Drosophila melanogaster: one gene and its partner. Changing the gene in region 2 together with the main gene of any one other region gives a genetic interaction. Each region holds a gene or a part of one and is shown on either strand. Other genes may lie near its edges.

The links. Genes that interact genetically often act in the same process or in processes that back each other up.
Region 1: of shf (region 2) and fz2, changing one suppresses a phenotype caused by changing the other (phenotypic suppression), as found in Drosophila melanogaster (one study listed by BioGRID).

Annotation. Positions count from the first base shown.
Region 1 is NT_037436.4:19,231,122-19,238,967, reverse strand, and holds the start of fz2 (frizzled 2), read left to right. Parts: upstream 1-3,594; 5' UTR 3,595-3,954; exon of another isoform or gene 3,955-4,163; intron 4,164-6,395; 5' UTR 6,396-6,644; intron 6,645-7,846. Other genes in the region: CG33647 (uncharacterized protein), read right to left, coding at 1,911-2,090, 2,157-2,474, 2,534-2,608. UniProt on the Drosophila melanogaster protein: Receptor for Wnt proteins.
Region 2 is NC_004354.4:6,775,220-6,782,901, forward strand, and holds the start of shf (shifted), read right to left. Parts: upstream 4,441-7,682; 5' UTR 4,192-4,440; intron 1-4,191. Other genes in the region: C3G guanyl-nucleotide exchange factor, read right to left, coding at 7,135-7,267, 7,342-7,473, 7,551-7,676. UniProt on the Drosophila melanogaster protein: Required for normal accumulation and movement of lipid-modified hedgehog (hh) morphogen. May act by stabilizing the interaction between heparan sulfate proteoglycans (HSPGs) and hh, HSPGs being required for diffusion of hh morphogen.

The DNA of each region.
Region 1 (7,846 bases), on a different chromosome or scaffold from region 2:
GGCATGAGTCATGAGATTTAGTTGGGCTTATGCTAGGTGTAGGCAAGGTAAATTATACAATTATTAAACACTTTGTTGTTAGCTTCCTAATATTAAAATTAATTTTAAAATATAGTTTTCATGGGTTTAAAAAATAGGCGATAGTTTGCTTTCTTTACTGTATATAATTGTAATGATATAAGTAAAACATAAGAAGCATATGCTTGTGGGGGTATCTTGGACTCCCTGTACTTTTTTGCTTGAATTTTCTTTTTTTTCACAATTTCCTTTATTATTCCCTTGCTAACCATAAATCCTTTATTAGTCTTGACTGCCAAAAATATGAAATATTTTCTTGTCCAACTTGTGGTTTTATTAGCAATGGTATTTCAGTGCATATTGCCATTCAATTTTGCTGTGCTCCTAACATTCATCTTTAATTAATGAATTGTTCTTTTATTATTGTTTATTAGTGATTCCAGCCTTTATTTTTCCATCTTCTTTGCATATGCATCTATTCTTTTCCCCTTATCAGTCCATCTTTAATTGAATTCATTTAACATCAACACTGTCGATGAAGAACCGCACTTTACATCCTGATTGTACTATGTGCCCCCATTCGGCTTCAAGACCCAACTCCTTAATCCTTGCGATTGATTAAGACCGAAATGCAGCTCAGCAATTGTCAATGCAACTGCAACAACACACACAATACAATTGAAACACATATAGAAGCAATAATTCGACCCATCAGGTAACTCCTCCATTTGGCCACTTGGGCTTTTTGCCTGACCGCATTCAGTTGGTGGAGACACCGGCCGGCAGTTCTTGGCCCTGCTGCTGCCATTACCAATACAGTCATATTCTACATCGGCACGGTGGGTGCTTCTGGCCCCCTCCCCTCACGAGGACTAACCCCCTTCTGGGCTGTTAGCCAGGCTTTTGTTTTTGTGTACTTGAGAGAGCTACATTTTGTGTGAGAGGATCATGCGCGCTACACGTTTCATGTCCATTATCCTGGATGAAGGCCCATGTCCACAAACTTATTTCGATTTCAAACACAATCGATTGTTTGGCAAAATATCAGGCTATCGTAGTTTTTGATATTTCCGTTAAGCTAGGGAATAACCAATATATGTTACATTTAGAACTATGTATTTTAACACAAAAAAGTTATCGAATTTATAAGGATAAATATTAAATAATATGACTTAAGGAACAGATATGTTAGTTTTGCTGATTTAAATCTTATTGCAGCGCAAGAAATGACAAATATTGTCTTAAAAACATTGAATCATTTTTAAAAGTCGTTAAGTATCTGTTCAATAAGTCGGGCTTAAATGATTCCAATTTTTAAATGGCAAAATATTATGAAATGATCTGATACATACGATATATGGAGTTAAAACTATTCCGTTACCGATCAGTTCTTCCATTGATAGGCTTTTCATTTTTATTAGGTTTTCACCCTTGCAGAGGGTATATGGATATCATTAAGAAGTTTGCAACGCAGTGATGCAGAAATTTGTGACTATATATACATATATTAATGATCAGGGTGAACAACTGAGTCGGTATAGCCATGTGCGTCAGATATGGTGATATATTTCCGACTCCAACAGTTAATACAATTTTATTATTTATAAGATCGGGATATCGGGATAGAAATCATAGTGTTGTTGTTATTGATCATAAACTATCACTGATAATTAATGCAAGGACATTTAAGCTTCGGCTTGCTGAATACAGCTTTGATTAGCTTCAATTGGTTAAATAAGCTTTTAGTTACAAAAGTGGACGATTTCAACTAAACGATTATTTTTAGTAGCTTATTTATAGCTTTAATTCTCTGTAAATATGTATAACAAAAATATTGTAAGTAAAAAAAATCCATTTATTTTGCAATTACACATTTTGATTTATATAGTGATCTATTCGGTTTTAATATAATTTCGCCGAAGTATTCTAGAAAAGCGACCTTTAATAAGCAACCGAAATACTTTGCGATCCTTAACGCTTAAATGGGCGTCCGAAATGAAGTTCGTTTCTGGCATATAGCTGGGTATAAATTTCGAGTTAACTGTAAATCCCTTTGCGTAATACCGTTTATTCTAAAACACAATTTCCAAAATACGATATTAGAGAGTTTTATACAATTTCTTACCAGTGTTAATTACCATTTTCAACGGACATTGTATAGGAAAATTGGCGGTTTCGCGAAGCTGCGTAGTAACCATTCTAAATAAAAAATGATTTTCCACACTTGATAGCATCTGACAATAGTCTACATGTGAAGAGGTAAAATTCGTCACGTATGAACCTCTCTTAAATGTCAAAATGTAAATGCCCTTCAGGTCCTCAACATCTTGGGTTAATATGAACTCTGCGTATATTGAACCAGTGGGGTGGGAAGTTTCATTTAAGTAGCAGCTTACGTTTCTCACCAATTCTGGCATATAATTGAGGCACTCAATTTTCGTCATAAAAACTTCTTTCTATACGTTGAGATAGGTTAATGTAGTAGGACTTACATATATGATTCTATACTACTGACCTCTGCACGAACACTGCTCAAGATTAGGGTCCCCAGAATCAGGTCAACCAATATAAAAAGCTTTTTGACGTTCATACTAGTGGATAACTAATTGAAGACTAAAATCTAATGCATTTCAAACGCACGTAGGTGTGTATATTTTAAAATAAATGGGTTTTTAATGTGCTCAATTAGTGTATTACCTAATTTGTAATTGCTTATTTTTGTTGATAGAACATTAATATCGGTAAATTATTTGGACTTTTCAAGTTGGAGATGCGCAAAGTACTAATAGTATAAAATAATACTATAAAATTATTATATTATAATATATTATAATATTATATTATAATAATTAATACGGATTAGAGTGGGAGATCTGAAACAAATTTGCACGAATATGAAGCATTTAGAATCAGCTTAATAATAGTTTTCTAGTAATAACATATTGAAATAATTTGTATTCTTAAAAAAGAAAAACGGGTTTAAGATGAGTGATGATTTAGCTAGAACTTATACGTTTTCTTTATTTTACTGCGAACGCGATTTTACTGAATATAATTTCTATCAAAGCCCTTGAAGTAATTATCTTGATACCTATTAATTCTTCTTTAAATGGGCTATCCATACTATTACGCATTTATATTTAATTTATTTTTGATTTCTATGACTAATTTCTTGGTTAGATTCAGGACGATTTCATCATATTTTGAATAAGTGGTGCGAAATTACTTTTTTATTGGTCCATTCGACCAGTCTAGCATACAAAATATTTTCGTTAATAACATTGCATAAATTTATAGCTCTAATATATTTTATAATGACTTATTTATTTTGCAGAAACTTGTTTCAAAAAATTAACGTTTGGTGATTCGTTTGGTGATTACGTTACGTGATTCCGGGCAGGCCTTACGTTTCACGTAGCTCTGTTCCGTTTACCAAATCGTTTCGCGAGCTTTTTGGACCGGCGCATTTGTAATTCCATCTCTCTATTTTTCCTCCCCCGCATTTCTTAATCGTTATCGCTCTCTCTCTGCGAATTTTGCAAAACAACGGCCGGCCGTTTGGAAAAGTCGGAAGAAAGTCAGTTGGCAAGTGGAAATCACCGGAAAAACTACACAGCGCGGCAGAAGGAAAAACGTGAAAATCGCAGACGCTTACACCGCAGACGGGAAATAAAAAAAGCCAAAAAGCAGCCGCGAAAGGCAGCGCAGTCGACGTTGGCAGCGCCGAGGGCTGATAACAATAGTTAATAACAATAACAAAGCGGAATAAAAACAAAAGAGAGAAGCACATGAAAAGATAATATGTAAAAACCGAAACAAACAAAAAATCGCGCGTTTAATTAACGGACATACGACGTGAGCAGCGCGGTCGACGCCGCAGTCGCAGTTGGCGTCGCAGTCGCCGTCGCGCATTGGTGTGTGTTTGTGTGAGTGTGCGTGAGTATCTGTGTGAGCTGGAGATATAAAACTGCAATTGATTGCAATTTCGGCGGCATTTGCAAAATAGCAAGCCGGCGAAGAACACAAAACCGAGAAATCGAGAGATCTGCAAATAAAATATACAAACAAATAAAAATATATTAGTAATAAACTTATACAAAAACACAACAAATATAAAATCAGCACAACAAAAACACAGCCAAACGGTAAAGATACGAAAAAGCTAACTCATTTGTGTATCTAAAATAATAACAAAAAGCAATTCGAAAATGAGTACTTCTTGCATTTGTGTGAGCGCAGCTGTTGATGAAAGTGAAGGAAAATCATTCACATTTTCTACGGGAAAATGGGAAAGACAACAACAGCCACACACTCACACAGCTGCAAAAGAAAAGAGAGCACAGAGAGCTAAACTCAGACGACGCCAAGTTCTTTTTTTCCGCTTTTCCGTTGTTTGCATTTTATTTTTGTTTTCTGTTGTGTTTTTCGCACACAGGGAGGAAAACTCAGCCACTTATAAGTTTAAATTTTGAGTGTACACATCTTGTTTCAGTTGTTGTTTGTTTAAGAACATAAACTTTTTATAAATTCAAATGTTAAACGTAGATATTTCGACGTAGCTTTAAAGGACTAAATACTCTTTATATTGCTTTTTTTGCCCAGAATATAAAAGAATATATTTAACTTTACATAAGCTTATATTTCCAACAACGCTAAAAATACACTTTTTAACTTGTTGATTTCTTGACCATTTTTGTTAAAGTTTTTCGGAATTTCACATTTTTTTTATAAATGTAAGTTCGAATATTTATTTCTTTTTCCTTATTACACCTTATTACACTTTATTAAAGTTCATTCAAGTTCATTAACAAAGACAATATTATTTTTAATTAAAGTCTAAATTTGAACGATTTTTTTTGCATTTGTGGAATAATGTTGAAAACAATAAGATTGTTGTAAATAATCAATAAAGAATTGATCCAAGACAGGTCAATTTTTTTCTGTGTACATTTACGAGTCGAGTTCACAAGCCAGACAGCACTGTTGCTTTTGCTGCTGTTTTTGTGAGAGTATCTCATAGCTAGCTACCTAGCTGCAAAAAGTATCTAGATACTTTTGCCGAGTTTCCTACTCTTTTATCCGGCTGTCTGTTTATTGAGACGCGTCTTCAAGTTTTTTCCCCACATCATTGCATTCTTTAATTCCCTACATTTTAAATAGGAGCAGTTTCAGATGTTTCGAAATATTTATAAATATTTTCTTGCACTCGCATGTTGGCCGGCAGTCAAAGTAACACTCAACTTCAACTTCTGTCTGCGCACTCTAATTGAGTTAGTCTGGCATTTCAATGGGAGCAGCAAGCACACGCACCGCTTCTGGTCGAAAGGGGCGGAATGGTATTAGCAAGAAATGGGGGCGGGGCCGGGCTCCAGACTCAGCGGGTGGGAAATCCGGGGGGTGGCTCTTGCAGGGGTCACAGCCTAACCCGTGTGTTAAATTATGCAAAACGCTAAGGGAATGTCGAAGCAATAAGTGCAGAAATGTTTACATTCTCTGGCCAACGAAGAATATTATTCATATTTGCGTTTGGGTTAAATAAATAGGAAATTTGGTCATTTTGGTTAATTATTTTCCTAAATAATAATTAATTTTTGTTTCTTGTTATTTCTAATTATGCAATATTTATTTAGTTCTTTGAAGTAATGATTAAACCCAATCTTAATTTTAATTTCCCTCTACTTCCTTCTGATTGAGTGTATTAAATATTTCACTGAAATATTTTTCTTTTTCATTAATGCAAATGGCTTTTGAACTATTCCACACACCCACTGGTGTCTCATTTATATCTTCGCAAAGCACATTCATAAAAAAGGAACCTACAATTTCGCTCCAAACAACTTTTTTATCATAGCCCGGCTTACACGTACGAACACATATATTTTTGGGTATTTTAAAGGGTTAACACACGCTATACGACTGCCAAACTTTTCCACGTTGGCTTTTTGTGCTGGTCCTTTTATTTTGTGAAAATGTTTGGCATTTTTTGTATTAAATTGTCAGTGAAACGAGCGTTGGACCGTTTCCGAGGGGCATGGCAACAATTCAAAACGTGAACTGCCACTAAAACATGCCAAAAATCTGCGCATTTAAAATATTTGCCCCAGAGCCCATTGAGATCCAGCCAAGCGATGGATGGGCGGCGGAAGGGGAAAAGAGGAAAAATGCAGGCATTTTCCTGCGATTTGATTTAGTTGTTGTTGGCCGGGTTACACCTTTTCACTCACACCTGTCGTCTGTGTTTTTCTATTTTCAATTTTTTTTTCAGCAAACTACACGTCTGCGTTTTGGTTGCCCCCTGCAAGTCCTTTGTTTTCTATTTAATAGCTGTTTTAGCCACTTGCACGTGATCAACAATTAATTGGCAATATCTTTTTCAGGTTCGTCAAATCAAGCGGATCTCTCCAGCCAAAATAATCAGCAATCTGATGTAGCAAACGCCTATATATAGAATATACGAAAATGCAACCATTCCGTTCCGCGCCGTGCTAATGCAAACGTATACGATCCGAAACCGATAAATATAGAAATACAATAAACCCAAGTGAAATAGCAATTTTAAACGCCAATAAAAACAAAATATACCAATTACACTGCCCAAGAGAACATCAAAGGAACTCATTTTGGAGGTGAGTTATAACAACCATTAAACAATTATATGTCTATTATAAGGTATAAAATATGAAATAATAAAAAAGAGATTGCAAAGCTATTTCTTCTAGAAGAACTATAAATATTATTGCATTATAATTACATTCTACTGTAATGTAAAATGTACATGCGAAAACTTGAAAGATGATAATGTTTTTCCACACACACAAGACCGTACTTCTTGTTCCATCAAGTATTTCGAGCACAACTCTGCTTCACAGCTGGGTGTTGTTATTTTCATATGTTGATTGCCTATAGCTTTTCCTGGACTTCTGTTTATCGACTTCAATTTGCTCTAAAACACCGTACCCAAAACTCAATTGGAAATGCAGGAAAAGCCAGGAAAATGGACTCGCACACAGAGAGAGGGCGCGAGGAAAAAGCCTAGACGAAGGGGTCTGAGTATTCGGGGGATCGAGAGGGAACAGGGCATAATCCAGAAAACACCATTCAAGGGCAACTTTCACCAGCTTGCTGGATGGCCGAGGAGCGAATGGGGAGGGGTGAGAGGTCAAACCACCCGGTGGCAACTGCCCATCCATCGCTTAACGTCCTCGTCTGCCATTTTCATTTCGACCAGGGAAAACTCTGCCGCAGTGGTCGGCCGCATTGGCAGTTTTTGGGTCTCCACAGACATCGGACATACATCACAAGCCCAAGTTCAAATTTCCTACTTCCTCTTTTACGCCTCATCCCCTCCCCCGATCAGGACCTTTCCCCCCTACTCACCATCATCGCCTCTTGCCTTTTTTATGAGTGGCAAAATTGTTGTTATTTCTGCCGAGTTTTCCCCCAAAAAAAGGAAATCGGAAAAACGGCTAGAAAGTGTACTGAGGGAAAAAACGATGTCTCTCGTTCCAAATAATGTAAGATATGGCATTTGAAATAATATTTAATAACCACCGCTTAATAAATAATAGAAAATACTGATCGTGCCTAAATGTTGTTCATACATTTACAAATACTTAGCATATTTAGTTGCTAAAAAATATTTCAGTTTTTAAAAAACCTTTTATTCCCGTGTAAGCCAAAGAAGCAAATTTTTGAAAAATGCCTGCCAGCGGAAGAAGCAGCAGCAGCAGCAGGCGGAGGAGCGAAAGACGGTGGCAAGGACATGGAGTGAAAACAGTTGCCTCCGCCGTCGTCTGTCGCTTGACGTCCTTCGTCTGTCGCAGTCGCA
Region 2 (7,682 bases):
GGATTGGGCATACTCTGTGTGCTAGCACTTTAGATTTCCAGGAATAGTGCATATACATATGTATATGTACATACATATATATGTGATTGAATCGCTTAGGTTTTTTCACTGTCAGACTACATATTTTAACTCAAGAGTCACAAGTGAGTTATAAAACATAACCGAAGAGCGAAGTTGCCAACCAGCAACTGAAGTGTCCCCATTCCGGTGCATGGACTGCCCTCGGCGAAACCCCCCCAACCCTCCTCCCCAAAACCTCATTCAGCTTGGCCCGATTGAAGCGCTAAACGGCAGTCTCTCGAAATGATGCAGAAGTGAAGGAAGAGCAGGTACAAAGTCGTTAGCACTTTGCCCGGTGTGAAGTTACCCAAGTCAACGAGGGCCAACTCCAGCCAGCCAGCCAGCCAGCCTTGTTACACGGCAGACCGGACAGCCAGAAGCCAGACGTTTAACACGGCCAACAAGTGAACGGACAAAAGAGACCCAGTGATGACACTTTGACCTTTTTTCTTTGGCCATTTAAAATACAAATTCTTATTCAGATATCTTATCACATGAGTAAAAAATTCGCATCATCTAAAAGCCTAGCTTAAAAGTGGCTTTATCTGAGAGCAGGTTGGCTGGCTTTCACATTAAGATTTCCAATTTCCAATTCCAAGCTCTATAGGGCTCTGAAGAAATCACTGAGGAAACTCACAGCACCACTGACTGGACAAGCGATCGATCGAGCATTGTCCGTCCATGTCCCGTCCATCACGTATGAATGGGTTGATTCGAGATCCGGGGACAGGGCAAACGACGATGATGGGCAAGAAAACAAGTTAAGCTGTCTTAATAAGATCAAACATGGCGATTATGAGGAATTACTTGGAGATAATGACATCGTCCAGCGACTCAAAGGGCTCGGACTCTCGAAGATTGTGCTCTGGGATCATCGGGCAGCAAGACCGAAATCCAACTCCAAACTTATCTGCAAAACGGCCCCTGGGAAATGAATTCGTTAAGTGAACTAATTGCTCTTGTGGATGCCCAGCGTGCATGCATGAATATATCCGATGTGTATATCCAGATAGTAATTGAATCAGTGGTTAAGAAATCGTAGGCGGAAGTAATTCATGGAGCTGGCATATTACAACGCAATATAAATATATGTATGTAGAACATAAACGGGAACGTCATATGGCCATCACAGATTGGAATTGAAATTGGATTCGAAATCGGGATCGTGTGGGGATCTCGGGATCGGGACCGGGCCAGACCTCGATTTCCTATAAATACGATGTTCACGCTTTGTTTTGAAATTATTTTTATTTCGTGCTAATTAATGGTCGGTCGGCCGATAAGGAAGCACATGATGGCGATAGCCGGCACCGGCGCATAGATAATCCCACTCATGGTCAATCTAAGTCCGAATCAGAATTGGAATTTCCAGCTAAGGCGCATTCGCAGCGCAGGCTGAGGAAAGCTTAGTCAGCGTGCAATTAATAGGGAGATATTCATAAAGGTGTAAAGTGTATATATATAAACATATATATCTATATAAGCATTAACTTAACCCCTTTTCACCATTACACTGAGCAGTTAGCAAGCACTCAACTACTGTTGGACTGAAGAATTCGCGTGTCTGTTACTTTCCCTTCGTTTGGTTGTGAGAGGATCAGGTGCAGTGCAGGGAAGTGGTTATCAAACACCGTATCAGGTCGATGGAATGAAGATGAAGATGGCCATGCATTGTTAGTGCTGTCGTCAACGATATAATTGCTTCAGCTGGAGGAAAAGGGACAGATTAACATTTTAGCGTGAAAGAAGAGAGATGAGGAGATGGAGGAGGTGGAGTGGCAGTAGCAATCAAAGTAGGAACGGCAGCAGCGCAACAACAACAATTTGTTAGCTCTTTACGATTATTGCCTTTCTCACACCTTATTACCAAGAAAATAAAGAAGCAGCATCCACAGGGGCAACAACAAATACTCGACGATGAGACGTGAAAATAAAAAATTAAAGAACCCAAACACACACACAAGGTACGACAAAAGGCAACACAACGAGAACAAGAAGCTGCCCCTTGGAGTGGCGGAGTGGACTCGACTGGACTGGAGTGGACTGGAGTCGGAGTGGAGTGGGATCGGATGGGATGGGATGGAACTGAGACTGGAAAAGGAAGTGGGGGCGGAGGAGAGGCACTGGAAATCGCACACTCACAGCCAGCCATTAATGGTGTACTGCAGGTGCAAGCGAGAGGCAAGTTGTTCATAAACAATCCCAACGTAAAAAATGACATACACCGAGAAAAGAAACCCTATCGATTCCAAATTACCCATGCAGTAGTTATCCAAAACAAATGTGTCGAAACCGAGATATTACACAATATTTTTTGGATATCTTAGGCTTATTTTACAGATATATAAGTACATACGAATTTGCTCAGATCAGATATCAGGATCAAGTGCTTTGAAAATATCCAAACATATCATATGTTTCTCCCTGTGTAGTATAGAGAGTACAAGCAATTTGTTGACTCAAAAAGACAAAGTCATCGGCTAAAAGGATTTCGAATGAAAGAGCAAGCCAGATGAGCAAGGATGAGCGAGTGAGGAGAGTTACATACTTTCCCGGCTACCGATTTAAATGATGTCCAGTAACAACAACAACAACAACAACAGCAACAAGTGGCACTTGCAGCTCTGTTTGCTTAATGAAACAACAGCGACACACTCACACTGGCACACACAAAGTAACACCAAGCGACTGTGTGAAACACCAACAAAAACACCTTGGGCAAATAATGCAGACAGGACGGCCACAGTCGACTTGCTAAATACCCATCAAGTGTTTGGACATTGGCCAATTGGAAGCATATTGTTTCTTGAGCATTCATGTGTGTTTTACTTTAAGAAAAAGTAAAAGTATCTGTAGGAACAAATGTATCTACAAGATATTAAAGTATCTATAAGATACAAAAGTATCTATAAGATACAAAAGTATATATAAGATACAAAAGTATCTGCTGGATTTTAGTGCATCAGCTCAAGGTTATTATGCCTAATTTCTAAGATTATTATTTTCTCCGTGTAGGTCATAGCTGTGACACCTGACCTAGAGGGTGTTGGCCTATTCGTGATGCTCTAGACTGGCGCAGCCCATTAATCCTGGTTGCTACTCCTACTGATGATAACGATCACCAATTGAGTGGCAAAAGGGAGTGGGAGGAGGAGGGGTAGAAGTAGAAGGAGGGGAGCCAGACAACAGGCGGATAAAAACGCCTGTCTCCAAGTGGACTCAAGTGCCGCAGGAGGTGGAGGTTGGAGTTGGAGTTGAAGTTCAGGTTGGTGGACGCGGAGCTGGAGAGGGGGCAGCGCAGCGAGACACGCAGGCTGCCGGACAACCGGCAGCATGGGCATCAGGACAAGCAGAAGAAGCAGCAAAGTCAGAAGCAGAAGCTACTTGAGAGCCACAGAATTCCGATTCCGATGAGGCGATCGTGTGTCTATATGTATGCATGCTGGAGAGTCAGGCATTCCACTCCACTCCACTCCACTGCAGTCCACTTCATTACCAGTTCGCAGATCGCCGCATCCAGCATACAGCTCCAAGGAGCTGGCAATCAAATGGCCAACGTTGGACAATGACTTTCACGCCTTTCGAGCGCGCCAAAACGAACATGTCAAGTACAGCCGACCAGCGGGCATCCCAGATACCCTACATACCTCGGTAGCTTTGGCACTTGGGTATTAGTTTTACGACAAATTTTCGAATAATCTTGGCACTATCAGTTTAGTTTCGAAATGGCCCAAACTATCATTCCGTTAGGGGAAAGTTAAGATCAAGAATCTGCCTGCGAAAAAGTTATATTCGCTAATTTAGCTTATCTGTTTTGGTTTTATATCTGTGCACTTCTCACATGCAAAATTCTGCCCGTTTTCAATTGCACTTAAGCCTACAATCTGGACATCAACTCTCGATCTTTCGATCAATCGAGCAAGGTGATTTGAATGGCCAGGTGAGATACCCATTGATATGGGTAAAAAATATGCAAGTGCTTTCGCACTTCAGCGGTTTAGTTAGTTCTTATCACAAAATTGCGCTAGTGCGAGATTAAAACTCTGCATGTCTAGCAATATTTTCACAACAATCACATAAACTTAGGATCACAGGTTAGTTTTCAATTTCAAATTTGCACACTTTACGTACTCGTTGGCTGTCGCCGGCTTGAAACAAAAAAAAACAAACAGTCGTTTCGTTGACAAAATACAAGGGTGTAAAAAACAAGTAAAGCTTGATTTGTTGGTCCTTTATGTTCCGATTTACATGAGCCTTAAACTTTGCACGTATTTCGTTGGCTCGAAAGCTCCTTTGGGGCTTGAACACAAACGCGAAAAGAGTCGGTTTCGACACTTGAAAAATCCCGCAAAGTTTCGTGGCGCGACCGTCGCACTGCAGCTCCTGAGCTCATCTGAACAAACCAACGAAAACCGGCGAACGTTTCGATCGCAGCGCAGTGATGCCCGCTCCCTCGATCGGATCGCTCTGCTAAAAAGAAAGGAAGAACACATGACGCTTAATTGCCAAATTCCCCTTAAATTCCCATCGAATATTAAGTATTAATGAAATGACTGTCATAAAATTAGGCGCGTATAGAACTGTACAATAAATTATGATTATTTTGGAAAATTGTTGATAGAAAGTACGTACCTTCCAATGCATTCGTTGAACTCTACAAACCAGTTGGCCATAGTTTATTTATACAAAAGTGCTTCTGAGTATTGGTATTTGGTGAGGACATAAAATCTAATGGCGCTTTGTATTGCACAGAAAAAAAAATAGCCAAATTGGCATCACTACTGCGGTTGCCTCTCTCGAACCTTCAAACAATTCTCTCAAACCGCTTCAAGCCGCAACCTCGCTCTTAAAAGCATTAAACAATTTAAATTTAGTAACTGCTTCTTTGTATCAAAGGCAGATTGTTAATTGTTTAAAAAAATGGGTTAAATAATTAATTTGATTTTTTTCCCAAAACATCGTCCGCTACAAATGATCGATTTTTGGCCAAAGTTCATACCCAGATTTTTGGCGATATAAATCCTATATATACAAAATTAAATAATTGTCATTACGCTCTGTTATAAATGCGAATGTGTCTGTTTACAAGTCGTACAAAACAGTGCCACTCTTTTCGGCTAAGTTATTGAAAAAGCCCATTCAAAATTATTAAATTTTTGAAATTTTTTGAAAAATATAATCAGTTTTCTTTTGGATAGCAACAAAGAGAGTTGAACAATATTAGAATGCCATGCCCCACTAAACTCAAAATTAAATTTCCCATTTAACTATATTTAAACATGGAAACGGTAATTTTATCGAAAATTTCGATGACTTACACCCTTATCGAAAATGCGAACATTTTTATTTCGAATTTAAATAGTCATATGTGTTTATTGGCCGTACAATAAGGAAAAATCCTATTTCGACAATTGTTTTTATTTCAATGACTTCTGGAAAGCAACGTAGCCCATGTTCCTTTTCCCCAATAAAAATGCGTTTTGCAGATAAAGGAAAAATACATTGATTGTGGTAGCTATTTTCATTCTTATGAATACACACATAACATTTAAATACAAATACATTTACAATTGAAAATTTTCTCTACATATACAAAATATTTAATTTAAAAATAGGTGAAAAAAAAAAACAAGAATAAATTGTTGTCCCTAGGTTCGTTAGCTTAGTAAACACAATTGATGCGCCAGCGGCAGCGGAAGCAGCAGCAAAAAGAAGATCGAATTCACTCAACACAAATTAAAAAAAAAAATTGACTTTTCTTTTTGTTTATTAAAATGGCTATGGTGATCGGGAATTAAATTCTTCAAGTAAGCAGCCTTTTTTTCTGTTTCCCATTTCTAAATAAGAAGACATTATTCTCAGACGAGACAGAGTATTGCTTAGTAAAAACAACTTGAGGTCGATTTCATTCAGTTTTAACTCTGCTTTCAGATTTCTTCTCATGATTAATATTTTTACACGCAATATCAATAAATTTATTCCTCACAGAATTGAAAGGAGAAGTCAAAGCGTTATTTAGAACTATTATTACATGCCCATAAATATTTTTAATGTTAGTCGTACATTTAAAAGCAAATTGAATTTAGTTAATCTCTTCCACAGGTTCCTCGCCTTTTTTGTTTTTTTTTTTTTTTTTGTATTTTTTGTATTTTGTTTTGTTTTGTAACTTTAAAAGTTTCTTCAATTAATTGAGTCGCAAAATGAATTTTTGATTGATTTCATTGATTGATTGATTTGATCGATAGATACCGCCTTCTGTTTTCTGTTTCGTGCACTCTGAAATCTCTGATTTTGATTTTGAGTTCAATTTCAATTTGAATAACTTCTAACACACATACACACACACGGGTATTTAATATTGGTTGTTTGGAGAGAGAATTGCATATAACGCGCTTTGTGCTAGGGTTCGCTTGGTGTTCTGCTCGTGGATTGCATCGATTTATAGTCCGAGATATCGCTACATATATCGTCGAATATAGTTTGTCGGTTGGCCTCTACGTTCACGTAGCTTGCTTTCAAAATTCGTTGTGTTCTTGTGTAAAAAAGAGATCTCAAAACAAAAGCGAAAATTGCTGATTTCTTGATTGGTTGTCTCTGGTGGTAAGTAAGTTAGTTAGTTAGTTTGGTGTTCTAGTGCTGGCAAAAGTCCGGGAAAAAGTTTTTGGGACTCGCAGACAGGGATTCGGATTCGAATATTGGTGGGGAGTTAGCTGAGGTTAGGTCCATCGACCCAATGACTCATAGAGCTTAATAGTTAAACTACAGATCGGCTCGTTATTTGTACGCGGCTACATGTATCCGTATCCGTATCTGAATCGCTACATCTTAAGTAAGTATGTATATGTATTTCCGATTCGGCATCGGCTGGTAATTACAGCTAAATATCTTGTATAATTGTATATATATAGACAGAGAATAGCGAACATTATTGCTCAGACCCATTAGAATAGTTGTTGGCTGCTCCCGATGCTGATCCTCCTCCTAGACGTGGCAACCGTTTTGAACTGTTTAATTAATACGGTGTATATACTTTATCATATATAATATTGGTGTTTTGCTGTTGCTGCTTGAAGACTAATAGTTAACGGGGCGGCGTCCACGCGGCTTGATCTTCTCCGATATCTGCCACATCTCCTCCTCGCCCATAAAGTCCTTGAAGTTATCAAAGAAGCGTATAATGCGCTCGTTGCGTCGAAATGGATAGGCACTGCAGCAGAAAAAGAAAATTGCGTGAAGTGAAGTGAAAGAAGTGATTATAATTGAATGAAAATTGATAATTACCATTTCTTAAAACGTTTCATGTTGTCAATTATGTTGTACTGCTGCCAGCGCTTGGAGAAGTTTATGACGCCCTTGGACAAGTAGTCCTGGTTGCCCACATGCACAAACGTTAGATCCTGCAGAATTAGGCCGCTGGAACGAACGAATTGATAATTAGCTTTGGCTTTCGTGATTCTAACAAAAAAAGAAACATCAGATCAGATCCTTACATGTAGGGTATGCAGGGCGGATTAGTTTCGGCCAGCGCCTGTCGATAGGCGCGAAAACTGGAGCTGGAATCGATGAGGGCGCAGAATGATCGCACCTCCTCGGTGATGCCTTTTTGCCACTCCAATCTGCAG